Linked DNA regions of Schizosaccharomyces pombe. The protein of the gene in region 1 purifies or fractionates together with the protein of each later gene. This does not show direct contact. Each region holds a gene or a part of one and is shown in the gene's direction. Other genes may lie near its edges. The genes, in order: prp11, usp102 and sap14.

What was found.
Region 2: the proteins of prp11 (region 1) and usp102 purify together in Schizosaccharomyces pombe (affinity purification with mass spectrometry, with the first as the bait; one study listed by BioGRID). This does not show direct contact.
Region 3: the proteins of prp11 (region 1) and sap14 purify together in Schizosaccharomyces pombe (affinity purification with mass spectrometry, with the first as the bait; one study listed by BioGRID). This does not show direct contact.

The regions. Positions count from the first base shown.
Region 1 is NC_003421.2:517,620-523,510, forward strand, and holds prp11 (ATP-dependent RNA helicase Prp11), read left to right. Parts: upstream 1-1,892; 5' UTR 1,893-1,920; coding exon 1,921-4,965; 3' UTR 4,966-5,278; downstream 5,279-5,891. Other genes in the region: rad16 (DNA repair endonuclease XPF), read right to left, coding at 16-284. UniProt on the Schizosaccharomyces pombe protein: ATP-dependent RNA helicase involved in pre-spliceosome/complex A assembly and mRNA splicing. Bridges U1 and U2 snRNPs during pre-spliceosome assembly and enables stable U2 snRNP association with intron RNA.
Region 2 is NC_003423.3:3,422,722-3,426,474, reverse strand, and holds usp102 (U1 snRNP-associated protein Usp102), read left to right. Parts: upstream 1-1,995; 5' UTR 1,996-2,243; coding exon 2,244-2,364; exon of another isoform or gene 2,365-2,417; coding exon 2,418-2,687; exon of another isoform or gene 2,688-2,744; coding exon 2,745-3,103; 3' UTR 3,104-3,253; downstream 3,254-3,753. Other genes in the region: ESCRT II complex subunit Vps25, read right to left, coding at 3,281-3,469, 3,514-3,662, 3,718-3,753. UniProt on the Schizosaccharomyces pombe protein: Involved in nuclear mRNA splicing.
Region 3 is NC_003423.3:2,049,443-2,052,551, reverse strand, and holds sap14 (Pre-mRNA branch site p14-like protein), read left to right. Parts: upstream 1-1,783; 5' UTR 1,784-1,856; coding exon 1,857-2,100; exon of another isoform or gene 2,101-2,193; coding exon 2,194-2,294; 3' UTR 2,295-2,555; downstream 2,556-3,109.

The DNA.
Region 1 (5,891 bases):
GTTACCAAAGCTTACCGTTTGTCAACCGACATAGTTTCTGTATTTACAGTAATCAATTTTTTTTCCAAGTGGCTTTCCATTTCATGTTGAATCAATTCAATGTCATCAACGTTTGCTCCAACAAGCAAAAGAAGGGATCCTGGAACTGCAAAATATGAGAGTACATTTGCTGCAATTTGTAGCAATGACAAACCTGGTGCAATTACACACAGACCATCCTCTTCAATAAGTTCGTTAAAAACCTGCTGCTGGTAAGCAAGAGGCAAATGAACCTTTGTTTCCATATTTAATGGTGGTGTTATTCGTAGAGATTTTCCAATTTGCAATTTTGATTTCTGAAAGCTGTTAAATACTTTGATGCGAAAATTTTCCAATTTGGATGGAATAATCAACTCTATTTCTATTTCCGTTCACAAATGTGTTAAATAAAAAACAGTAGCATGAGATAGACTCCTTCTTAGGAATTTAGGCGGATCGTGAAGTTAAGAGACTCTCAAGGATGATGAAAGGAAGAATCTGTACAAAACAAAAATCCTATATAAGACAATGAATTTAAAAATGATTACCAACTGATAAAAGTATCCAAGGAGAACCAAATACAAATATTTAACCTAAAGATGAAAGAGTGAATGGAATACAGCAATCAGTAAAAATGAGCAACCAACTATACATACCAACTAGAGGTTAAACTAGTTTCAATATATTGGGTAAAATAAATTACTTAATATACTCTTTAACCATTGCTCAGTTTCGGGCATAGTTCATGCCTTAGCTTAATTCTCCTTAATTAGATACTCTACATTCAATCTTTCCATGTATTCACGTTGGGGTATCCCATCGCTTGTATTTGGACAACCATATTTTTTAAATTTTCTTTCAAAATGTAAGATTTATTTGCTGTCGGTTTCTAACTTCATTACATGCGTATAACCATTGCTCATCCTAAAAACAATTATCCCAGTATTAAGTATATCAAATTATAAAGCAATACCAGAAAAATAATGCCAGCTATTAATACTATCACTGTTAAATCGAGTAAATGGCGAAAAAATACACTTAAAAAAAATAAAAATAAATATACACATAAATAATTTTCTCTTTCATTTGGCATTACTAAAGAATTTTCGTTTTTTGGTTTTCTGCTAAGTCAATATTATTGGTCGAAGAGCGCAAAAACATAAACATTATAGAAAAAGTATAACATTATGTAAATTTCAATTATGCTTTTTTTTTTTTCTTTTTTGGAATGGAAATAATGGCTTTTCTTAATTTATGTACGCTCTAAATTATCTGACTTATTACATTCTATTGTAGATGACTGTTTAACAGACATTTGAAAGAGTACCTTACTAGTAATCAAGAATTGTGGATTCCAAGCCTTAACCCCAATAGTTATTTACATAAAAAAAGAAATATTGTAAATAAAAAGAGCTAACTCGCCTATTCGCCAATCAATAAAATTTTTTATCGTCTTTTATTTCTCGGTTTTCCGATATTATCTTTAGTACAAAAGCAATAAAAATTCAGCAACAATCAAAATGTAAGCGGTGTTGAAAAAATTACTTATATACCAGTGTTGATTATTTTTCCGAGTTTTACTGGTTAAGTTGAAGGTCCAGTGTAGGGAACCATAATTAAATTTTAAATAACTGAAATAAAAAATGAATATTACTTCTAAGATTTATAAATTGCACAGAATTCAGGTTGCTTTACCGACTTAACTGGCAAATTCATTGCTTTTTAATAAACCCCATATGACTTGTATAAATAATCATAAAGAGGTTAACTATAATAATGTAAATTATATCTAGTAGTGAACTAATATCATATGCATAATATATATTGCTATATAAAGTAATTTATGTCGTTTACTTGCCTCATTAAAACTCTTCGTGTACATATCACAACACCCAGTTTTTGATGTCTAGAAGAACACGATCAAGGTCGCCTCCAAGGCGATCCTACAATAGAGAAAGAAGAGATTACCGAAAATATGATGACTCTGAAGATCAAAAGGGTGCACGGTATAACCGATACGTAGACGATGTATCAAGTCGACGAGATAGGCATGATTCTTTTCGTTCTCACGAGTCTAATAAAATTAGAAGAGATAATTCTTGGAAGCATGATAAGTATAGTTACGAAAAAAGGTATCAAGAGCGAGATCGAGAGTATGCGAGATCAAAGAATATTCCCGATCAGTATATTGGTAGGTCACCGCGACCAACATCTCATAGACATGCTGAGGAAAAAGAAGTAGACAATAAAACTAAATCAGATGAAACAAATCCTGTATTACAAGGTTCCGCAACTGAAATAAAGCCTCAGCCTAGACGTTCTCGATTTGATCGAACTGAGAGAGTTGGTGCTTCTTTAAGTGTTTCAGAAATTCAATCTGAAAATCCACGAGTTGATGTAATTCCCAAGGATAAAGCTGTTGAAAATAATCATCAACGAAATGCTGAAAAGCCAGTAGCGTCAGACAAAATTACGGATGCTAAGCTACTCGCCAGGCTAGAACGAGTTAGAGCGTGGAAAGAGTCAAAGGCAAAACAGGAGGCTTCCAAGAAGGAGGAGCACAAGTTGAATACAAAGCCGCAGGTTACAGCCAAAGACCAGAATGCTATGCCTTCAACTGGTATATCCGGGTTTGAGATTAATCGCCAAAAAGATACTTCGGATATGAAGCGAAATAACCGAGTTCACATGGATGATGAAGATGGTCCTAGGCGTATGAATCTTGAAGACTACCAGGAGCTTTGGGACCAAGAAGACCGGGGTATGCTAGGAAATGAGCAAGCAGCTAGCATGGAGGAAGACGAAGTAGATCCTTTAGATGCTTACATGGCCTCTTTGGTTGGTACCACTGATACCATAAGGCCTGGTTTATTAAATACGGAGGTCATTGATCCGAATGCAAACGATGACGAGCGCATGGTAATTTCAGAGACTTTGGAAGAGGAAGAAAATTTACTTGCTCTTGCTGCAAAACGATCAAAAAAGAAAGACGTAATCACAGTTGATCACTCAAAAATAAATTATGAAGATTTCAAAAAGGATTTCTATGTTGAACCTGAAGAGCTCAAAAATCTGTCACCAGCTGAAGTTGATGAACTACGGGCTTCTTTAGATGGTATTAAAATTCGTGGTATTGATTGCCCGAAGCCAGTTACTAGTTGGAGTCAATGTGGTTTATCTGCCCAAACCATAAGCGTGATCAATTCCTTGGGATACGAAAAACCAACCTCTATTCAAGCACAAGCAATTCCAGCGATTACTTCTGGCAGAGATGTAATTGGCGTAGCTAAAACAGGAAGTGGAAAAACCATTGCTTTTCTTCTTCCTATGTTTCGACACATCAAAGATCAGCGCCCATTAAAAACAGGAGAGGGTCCTATTGCAATAATAATGACTCCTACTCGTGAATTGGCTGTGCAAATTTTTCGCGAATGTAAACCTTTCTTAAAGTTATTGAACATTCGTGCGTGTTGTGCATATGGAGGTGCCCCTATTAAAGACCAAATTGCTGATTTAAAACGCGGTGCAGAAATCGTAGTTTGTACTCCTGGACGTATGATTGATGTTTTAAGTGCGAATGCAGGACGTGTTACTAACTTACACCGCTGCACTTATTTGGTTTTGGATGAGGCCGATCGTATGTTTGATTTAGGATTTGAACCGCAAGTCATGAGAATTATTAACAATATTCGACCTGATCGGCAAACCGTACTATTTTCAGCTACCTTTCCTCGTGCTATGGAAGCCCTTGCAAGGAAAGTTTTAAAGAAACCTGTAGAGATTACGGTTGGCGGACGGTCGGTTGTTGCTTCTGAGGTTGAGCAAATCGTTGAAGTACGGCCTGAGGAAAGCAAGTTTTCTCGGCTATTAGAGCTGTTAGGTGAGTTGTACAACAATCAACTTGATGTACGTACACTTGTTTTTGTGGATAGACAAGAGTCTGCGGATGCACTTTTGTCGGACCTTATGAAACGCGGGTATACAAGTAATTCAATTCATGGCGGTAAGGATCAACACGATCGCGACTCAACCATCAGTGATTATAAAGCAGGAGTATTTGATGTATTAATCGCAACTAGTGTAGTTGCTCGTGGGCTTGACGTTAAATCTTTACAGCTGGTGGTAAATTATGATTGCCCTAATCATATGGAGGATTACGTGCATCGTGTTGGTCGTACAGGCCGTGCTGGCCATACTGGTGTAGCTGTTACCTTTATAACCCCAGAACAGGAAAAGTACGCCGTAGACATTGCCAAGGCTTTAAAGATGAGTAAACAACCAGTTCCAAAAGAACTACAAACTCTTGCTTCCCAATTCCTCGAGAAAGTTAAGGCTGGTAAAGAGAAAGCAGCGGGTGGAGGTTTTGGCGGCAAAGGGTTATCACGACTGGATGAAACTCGAAATGCTGAGCGTAAAATGCAGCGTAAGGCCTATGGTGAGGACGAGGAAGATGTAGAGACTGAAGCTGAAGCAAAAAGCCCGTTGGAAAAGATTACTCCTGAAAAATCTACCGGTGATCCCACGCTCGATAGAGTTCGTGCTGCTGTGGGTGGAATTGCTGCTCGTGCATTTGCCAACCAAACTGCACAATCTAACAAGCTTACTCAGCCAATTTCTATAATAAAAACCGATGGTGATGAGTATAAAGCTAAAATGGAAATTAATGACTATCCTCAACAAGCTCGTTGGGCCGTTACTAATAACACAAATATTGTACATGTAACGGAGTTAACTGGCACAAGTATCACTACTAAGGGTAATTTCTACTTGCCAGGTAAAAACCCTGAACCAGGAGAGGAAAAGTTGTACTTGTGGATTGAAGGTCCATCTGAGCTTGTTGTTAACCGAGCCATCACTGAATTGAGACGGCTTCTTCTTGAAGGAATTAACCACAGTTTGGAAGGAGGTAACAAACCAAGTGCTTCTGGACGATACACAGTTGTCTAGTACTTTCGGTCTATCCTTTTGAAAAAGAGACCTACACTCGTTTAAAATTAATCAATTGAATACGTTACGTGCTTTTTTGGGGAAGGGCAAAAGTGGTTATGAAAAATTAATGATTAGAAATGTCAATATTTATTATTTTAACTAAACATATATGGATTTTGGCATGAAAATTAAGGCATGTATCTTTTTTCATCGCAAAGTAAAAGCGGGAAAGAATGATTTTATTCACATTTTTAAAGCGAGTACTTTTCCAACTGCTTTCCTGAAATAGTGTTAGGGTATTTGCTTTTTGTAATCCACAGTATTTATAGTAAACAATAAACTAATGGTTGAATTTAATCTTTTGTGAAGAGAAGAAATAAAATGTAATTTTTGGCCTTCAATTATCAGTGCTAAACACAAATAGTAGGCAATCAATCCCATAGTTGTTTATTTGAGAAAAAGGTTCTGTCAGTGAATGCTTGATTTCATGATTGATGGGTTTAAAAGAAGTTAAAATTATAAAAATCAGAATTTTTTAGCGTAGAAGTAAAAACCTTCAATTATTTAATTTTTCTCCGACTATTTGCATAAGACCTAAACAAACTAACTGTATGCGAACTATATTGTACTAACACTGCATCAAGTTATATAATTACAATTTCGATGTACATTGTATTAAATGAATGCAAAAATTTATTTTTTTTACTATTTTCTTTTTTATTATAAAGGGCATTAAAGTAAACGTAGATTGTCTACGGCCATACCTAGGCGAAAACACCAGTTCCCGTCCGATCACTGCAGTTAAGCGTCTGAGGGCCTCGTTAGTACTATGGTTGGAGACAACATGGGAATCCGGGGTGCTGTAGGCTCCTTCTTTTCTTTCTTTTTTGCCTTTTTAATCCTGTTTTTACATTTGTTAATTATTTAATAGGTGCGCTGACCTA
Region 2 (3,753 bases), on another chromosome or scaffold:
CGCAAGGCGAAAAAATAATACCAATGGTGGCCATACGTATTGGAACCAGCAAATATCAAAGTTTAAAACACAGCATACTCTCATCGCTGCATGACTATCTCAAAGCTGGCAATAGAACAATTAACGTTACGGAACCATAATCCTTCAAATTTCGATTGCTTGCATTCTCGAGCTCCACATATTCGAGTCCATAACGGAACTAACCTAAATGCGGAGTTCCTCTAGTATTAACTAGTAACATGAATAGAGCATAGCCGTGCTCTTTTTTTTTAAGAAAACGTCACGCAACGTGTATCTTATCTCTGTCCTATCCAAGTCAGGATAGCTAGGGGCCCCCAACCTGGAGACCATACATCGACCGCGACACCAACCATCCTAGCGAGACTCCCTAACAAGAAGGTAAATATGGATGGACAATGAACCTTTTCAAAAAAAAACAGAATTCTCAAGCGATATATTCGCTCTTGAACAGTTCGGTGTAAAAGGATACTTCTATCCCTTGATTACGTGTACGCCCATACTTCATTCGGACTATAGAAGAAATATGGAGCTGTAACCCGTACTGCAATTGTCTGTGTTAAGAAAATGTAAACGCTGCACACTAAATCATCACTAATTCATCGCTAACTAACGTAGTCCCTAAAAAGTTATGAACTTGGTAAACGACTTTTGAGGCCTTGGGACCTCCTTAAATACGCCCAACTCATTACTAACAAGGTTTGCTATGTCCGTGAAAAGCGCCTATTGTACATATATTGCTCCCATATATGTGAAGCTTTTGCCCAATCATTGTAAGACAGGGTCTTGCTATATTTCCCTACCCCGCTCCATTCTTCCCAAGTCTGAGAAAAACTGTGGAGAAGCCTACCAATTTTGCCTAAGGGGATTTTGATCCCGCCTCTGCAATCTATTGGACGATAATAGCTATAACTACATTTGATTGGATGAAAGACATGTGATGAATGCTGGATGGTTTTGTTGTTTTTAAATGACCACCGATAATTTTTTTAGTTAGTACGCATACATTGATGAAAGCTGAAAAATTATAATAGGGTGAATAAATGAAATTCTTTTTGTGTCTTTTACTCTAATATCGTCTGGCAATTTTCTATTTTCGTACTTCGATAGCGCCATACATGTCTTGTCACCCGTTTTTACGAGCTAGGCTTAGAAATATCTTGGAATTTTTTTTCAGACATGTTGATGATTGGCTGATACTTTTTCCAGTTCTGCCTCCTCCACAATTTGCATCCGCGTTTTCCAGAGACGTTGGGGCAATAACTTTGTCTAACATTAAATTGAAATTACAAGGGTAAGTATTTGAATCAAGACTAACCTTTATACGTTGAATGTCTTCGATATTGTAGAGAATGCCTTGAAAAAAAAATTTTATTTGTGTTAATACAATCTAATATTGTGGAATAAAAAATGGTTTGTGACTGCTCTTCTGTTCTCGGCTGTTGTATTTCTTAATAGGACGGCTCGTAAAATTCGTTATTTGCGCGTCCAGTACACCATCGATTCCCATATTATCCACAGTTTACAAATAACAATATTTATATCATTTTCTTTACTTTGGGTAAACGCTCTCTTTCAGTAACTAAATCAATTGTTGTTTATAAAATTTTTATTCTTTTGTTTGCGCGTTCAAAATTTGTCTGCACGGTAAATCATTAACGCATAAACTCGGTTCTTTTACCTAGGTATCTCGTAAATTATATAAGGATTTGTACCATATTGTAACAAAATACAAGGCAAACTGAATTATTGTACAGATTATCGTATTCACTATTCAAGCATTCGTAACTTTTTCTGCAACTGAAAACAAGATTAATGAGCAACAACATGGTCAAACATAGCGATGCGTTATCGTGTTAAAACTACGTCCATTTATTGAAGTTCTTCCTTTCGCGATCTTTAACTTGGATAAGGAGTGTTTCTCTCCATTTGATATTTGGTACATTAGAGTACTGTATTTTGAAAACAAGCGCTTTTAGAATACATCCAACGAAATATTAATGCTGGCTATAATTTACATTTTGAAATTGAATGTAAAGTCAACCATTACGAGCCATATTTACTAAAACAAGGTGGTACCTGAAAGACTACTTCTTTTGGTAATTAGCTGGAATTTAATGCCATAAGCTGGATTGTCTTCCAATTTTTAAATACTCGTGTTTTTTGATTCATCATAACATTAGTGCCGAAATTCACTGTGAATATCTTTTTATATTTAACATCCAATGGATCCTCAAACAAATTCGCATCAAGAGGTTCAACAACCATCTCCTAAAGAGACAGACTCTCAAACACCGTCAGAGACTCTCTACATACGCAACATTGAAGAAAAAATTCGTCTTACTAGTATGCCACTAATTTAAATTGTTTTAATTTAATTTAATTTCTAACAATCGTAGTGTTGAAACGAATTTTAGAACATCTCTTTGGGTCTTATGGTAAAGTCATAGATGTTCAAGCAAGAAAGACTTTGCGAATGCGCGGTCAAGCATTTGTAGTATTCGACAACTTGGAGAACGCGTCACGAGCGTTAAAGGATTTACAAGGATACCCTTTGTATGGAAAGCCCATGATGATACAGTACAGTAAATCTAAAAGCGATATTATCGTACAAAGAGAATCTCCTGAAGAAATAGAAACTAGGAAAAAAGATAGGAAAAATAGGAGAGGTATAATCTTTTTTATTCTAAAATCAAAGACCTCACTTTACTAACCTTATATTATAGAAATGCTTAAACGGACTAGCGCTCTTCAACCCGCAGCTCCCAAACCCACTCATAAAAAGCCGGTTCCTAAACGTAATGTTGGAGCTGAGCGTAAATCGACAATTAATGAAGATTTGTTGCCTCCTAATAAGGTACTTCTGTTACAAAATATCCCTCAAGAAGTAAACGCAGACGTCCTTACACAAATTTTCGAAGCGTTTTCTGGATTTCAAGAAGTACGTATGGTTCCCGGTAGAAGAGGAATTGCATTTGTTGAATACGATTCTGATAGAGAAGCAACGGTCGCAAAAAATGGGACAACAGGTATGTCCCTCAGTGGAAATCAAATAAAGGTAACATTCGCTCGGAAGGCCTCGTAGTTGATTCTGCAACTATTTTAATTCCCTCTTTCAAATTTTTGTTGCAATAATCATCCAAAAGTCACCTTTCGAAATATATAAAGCTCCTATCATTTTCATAATTGATCATTTGTGTATATAAATTATATAATGCAATTTTGCAGGCCCAAAATTATGTATATCAAGCATGTAATTATGTTAAGCTTTCAGTACCTTGAACCCGCTATATTTTCCAGACGATCCTTTCATTAATTCGATATTTCCTTTTTTCATTAGTAGCTCAAGAACTTTATGGAGGAGTACTTCGTCTAAACAATCTACCTCTTTATATTGTTCTTGAAGTTCGTAAAATGTACATATAGACCCTTCTCGTCCCATATCGGATAGCTGTAAAACAATTAGTACTTTCGACTATGCAGAAAATGGCTTACCCATTTCAAGATCATATTCCCCCATTCAGATATAGACCTCCAGTATACCCAAAACACGTCTTTAGGATTTCGCTTTTCAGTCCATTCTGCTAGGTTTTGTTTCACCATATCCTCTACTATTTCTCGAAACACCGAAAGAGGCAGCGTTCCTATTTGGTAAGAAAGAAAGTTAGCACTAAGGAGTAATACAAAGAGTTTTCTTACTATGAATTGTACTGTTATGAAGCAAAGAACTTTCTA
Region 3 (3,109 bases), on another chromosome or scaffold:
GCCTTTCCGGCCCAGTGGAAGTTCCAATGACGCCGCGGAAGGGCTGCACACCTCAGTAGCGAATATGGGGAAAGAGCAAATTCATGCTTGCCACGATGACTACCTGGATGCTTGATGTAGGTGACGTGTTACTTAAGATGAAAATGTAAATACAAGAGAAGAAATGGGTCAAGAAGGCGATTAATGGATGAAAAGAGAAATTATTCATAGAAAAATTTTTCCTTAAATATGCGCTTTTATTAATCTTTCGTTTAGGTTTTTTTCTCTCGTAAATTAATTCAGATATAGGTATTTAATCAACATTGCCAATTTCAACAAGTTTTAGGGGTTACGTGCAATAGTTTTATTGTTCTATTGTTTTTTAATTCTTCTCTCAATCCTAACTCTTGAAATTTTGTCGTACAAGACATTTTTCGCATTTCGTCAAGTTAAATTTTATGTTAAACTAGAGTTATTTGCGAATTAGGCTAATGAGCAGAAACCACTTGAATATACAAAATTTTATTTATTTATTTATTTATTTATTTTTTTTAAAAAAAGAGTAAATGGTAATTAATCTACTAGAAGCGTAAAAAGAATTGTTCAATACTTCAAAAAGAAAAATATGTATATCATATATCAAACCAGATTAGCAATCAATGCCAATAGCTTTATTCATTGAAAAAATAAAAAAAATAAAGAACGGTTATAGATGAGTCAATTAATTTCGTACTTTAACGTTAGTTGGTTTATTTCGTTTTTGTACAACATTATTTACTTTTTTAAATACTTAGTTCCTGCTTATCATAATGAATATAGCTAGCTTCATTAGTTAAAATTATTAGTATAGTTTTCGAAATTGTAAACGCTACTATAGTTTCTTTTTTCTGTAATTTCCTAAATTGCTTCAAAACAGCATTTGCAATGCAGCACATTCTCAATTAAGAGCAGTTGTAAGCAAAGAGCAATGAGAAATCTTTCAAATTAGATAAAATGAAGTACAGTAAGATCCACATATTCAACAAAGCTATCCTTTCCCTTTAGTGTCTCTGTTGCTATCACTTATATACGAAAGCATGGCATTGGAAGCGTAAAATGAATCATTAATTTTGCAGATGTAGTTTTCTGGGATCAGGAAATAAAAAATTTAAGAAATTTCAAAAGAACTTGAGAAGAAATTGATGAACTAGTTGGTCTGTAGGCAAAAGATCAATGATACCAAATTGTTTCCTTGATAAAAGTCCCATTGCCAAACAAGAGTATAAGTTAAAAGAAAGTAAAGAAATAAGGAAAAATATAAATTGATGATACAACTATACTATCAAACTATTCTTTGCAATTGTCAGTTTTAAAGTTGAAACCTATTTCCTGTAGGATAGACAAACGAGGAAGCAAAAAATACCAATAAAAATGTTTATGATTTTCAACTAGTTATGTATAATTTGAAAATCACTTTAAATTGACTCTCTATTGAAATCACCGCCATGTCAGTTTCAACTCTGATCAAAGATCTCATGAACTAAGGATTGCATTTGACATTTGGAGTTACCAGGTAAAAGAAGAGGAAAATTTTGGTAAAAGGTTGAACCGTTTTGTCTACGATCTGTTGGTCCATTCGATTTCCCAGCATATACCTCTTCTTGTCCAAACCACGAAACGTAACCTTTAATATTCATGTCTCAATCTTTTCTACTATAATTAAACTCACGTATAGGATTGACTATACAACATCAATCTCCAAGCTGTGATAACGAGTATTTTCCATCTGATCCCAACCAACCTTTTAGGAATATTTATCCTTTCCAAAGCAAACCAAATCATTTCTTTTCGAAATTTGATTTTTTTAACAAAAAGTGTTAAGATCGTAAAAATAACAAATGCCTCCATCTACAGTTAATCAAGAAGTCAATTCTATCCTATTCATCAAGAACTTGTCTTTTAAAATTACAGCAGAAGAGATGTACGATCTTTTTGGTAGGTATGGTCCTGTACGACAAATAAGGCTGGGGAATACGGTTCAAACAAGAGGTACTGCATTTGTGGTTTATGAAAACGTTCAAGACGCTCGTCGAGCTTGCGAAAAGCTTTCTGGCTACAACTTCATGGATAGATACTTGGTTGGTACGTTATCTTAGGGAATGTATTAGCTACTATTAATTTTAATTTCTCCTTTCTAACGGCTTTTTAATATCTTCTTGTTAACTTTTTTTTTAGTGCATTATTATAACCCTGAAAGAGCTAAGGTTGATGGTCAAGATTTGGCAGCAAGGTATGCCGCCTTGGAACAAGTTAAGCAAAAATACGGTGTTCAGTGAACGTTTACTATTTATTTACCAAAAAAAAACAAACAAATTAGGAGTCTGATATTGACTCCATTAACGTGTAATAGATTTCCTCTTTCTATAAATTCTGTTGAAGAGAACATACAGCAGAAAAATGAATCGGCTCATATTAAACAATCGTTTACTAGTGTTTCGAACCTAGGTATAAAAAAGGTACTATAAGGACTTGAATTTTATTATATTTCGCTTAAAGCTTTTTAGTAATAATAATGTAATGCATTGATCTATAATATAACAACGTCTACATGTAGTATTAAGATTTGAATCCCTAATAAAACGTATCCAAATTTGCCCAACCGTATTTCCCAATTAATAATTTTATCTGGCACAAACTTCAAATCATAATGAGCTAGTTTCCAAAGTCCAACCCTTCCAGCTTCATTACCAACACATAACTCACCACCCTTACCAAAAGCTAGGCATGTAACTCTGCCTAAAGGCGTAGCGCTGGTGGGCCAATTACGGAACACACTAAAGCTGGGAACATGAACGAGTCGTAGAGTATCCTTCTTTCCTCGAGATGCGATAGCTAAAACTTGACTATCTTGAGAAAAGCTCATACTATTTATGCTGAAAGTAATATTATCCAATGTAGTGACAGGTTTTGGTGCAGCGTCCGCATTGGATGTCTGGAGGTCATATATATTAACAATACCACTCTTGCTACCAATTGCCAAATACTTATTAGATGGGTCCAAACAAAAATGAGTGGTAGATACACCATCTTGAACTTGCCAACGACGAACGACTGAACGTTGCTCAACATTAAAATGCCATACCTCCGCACC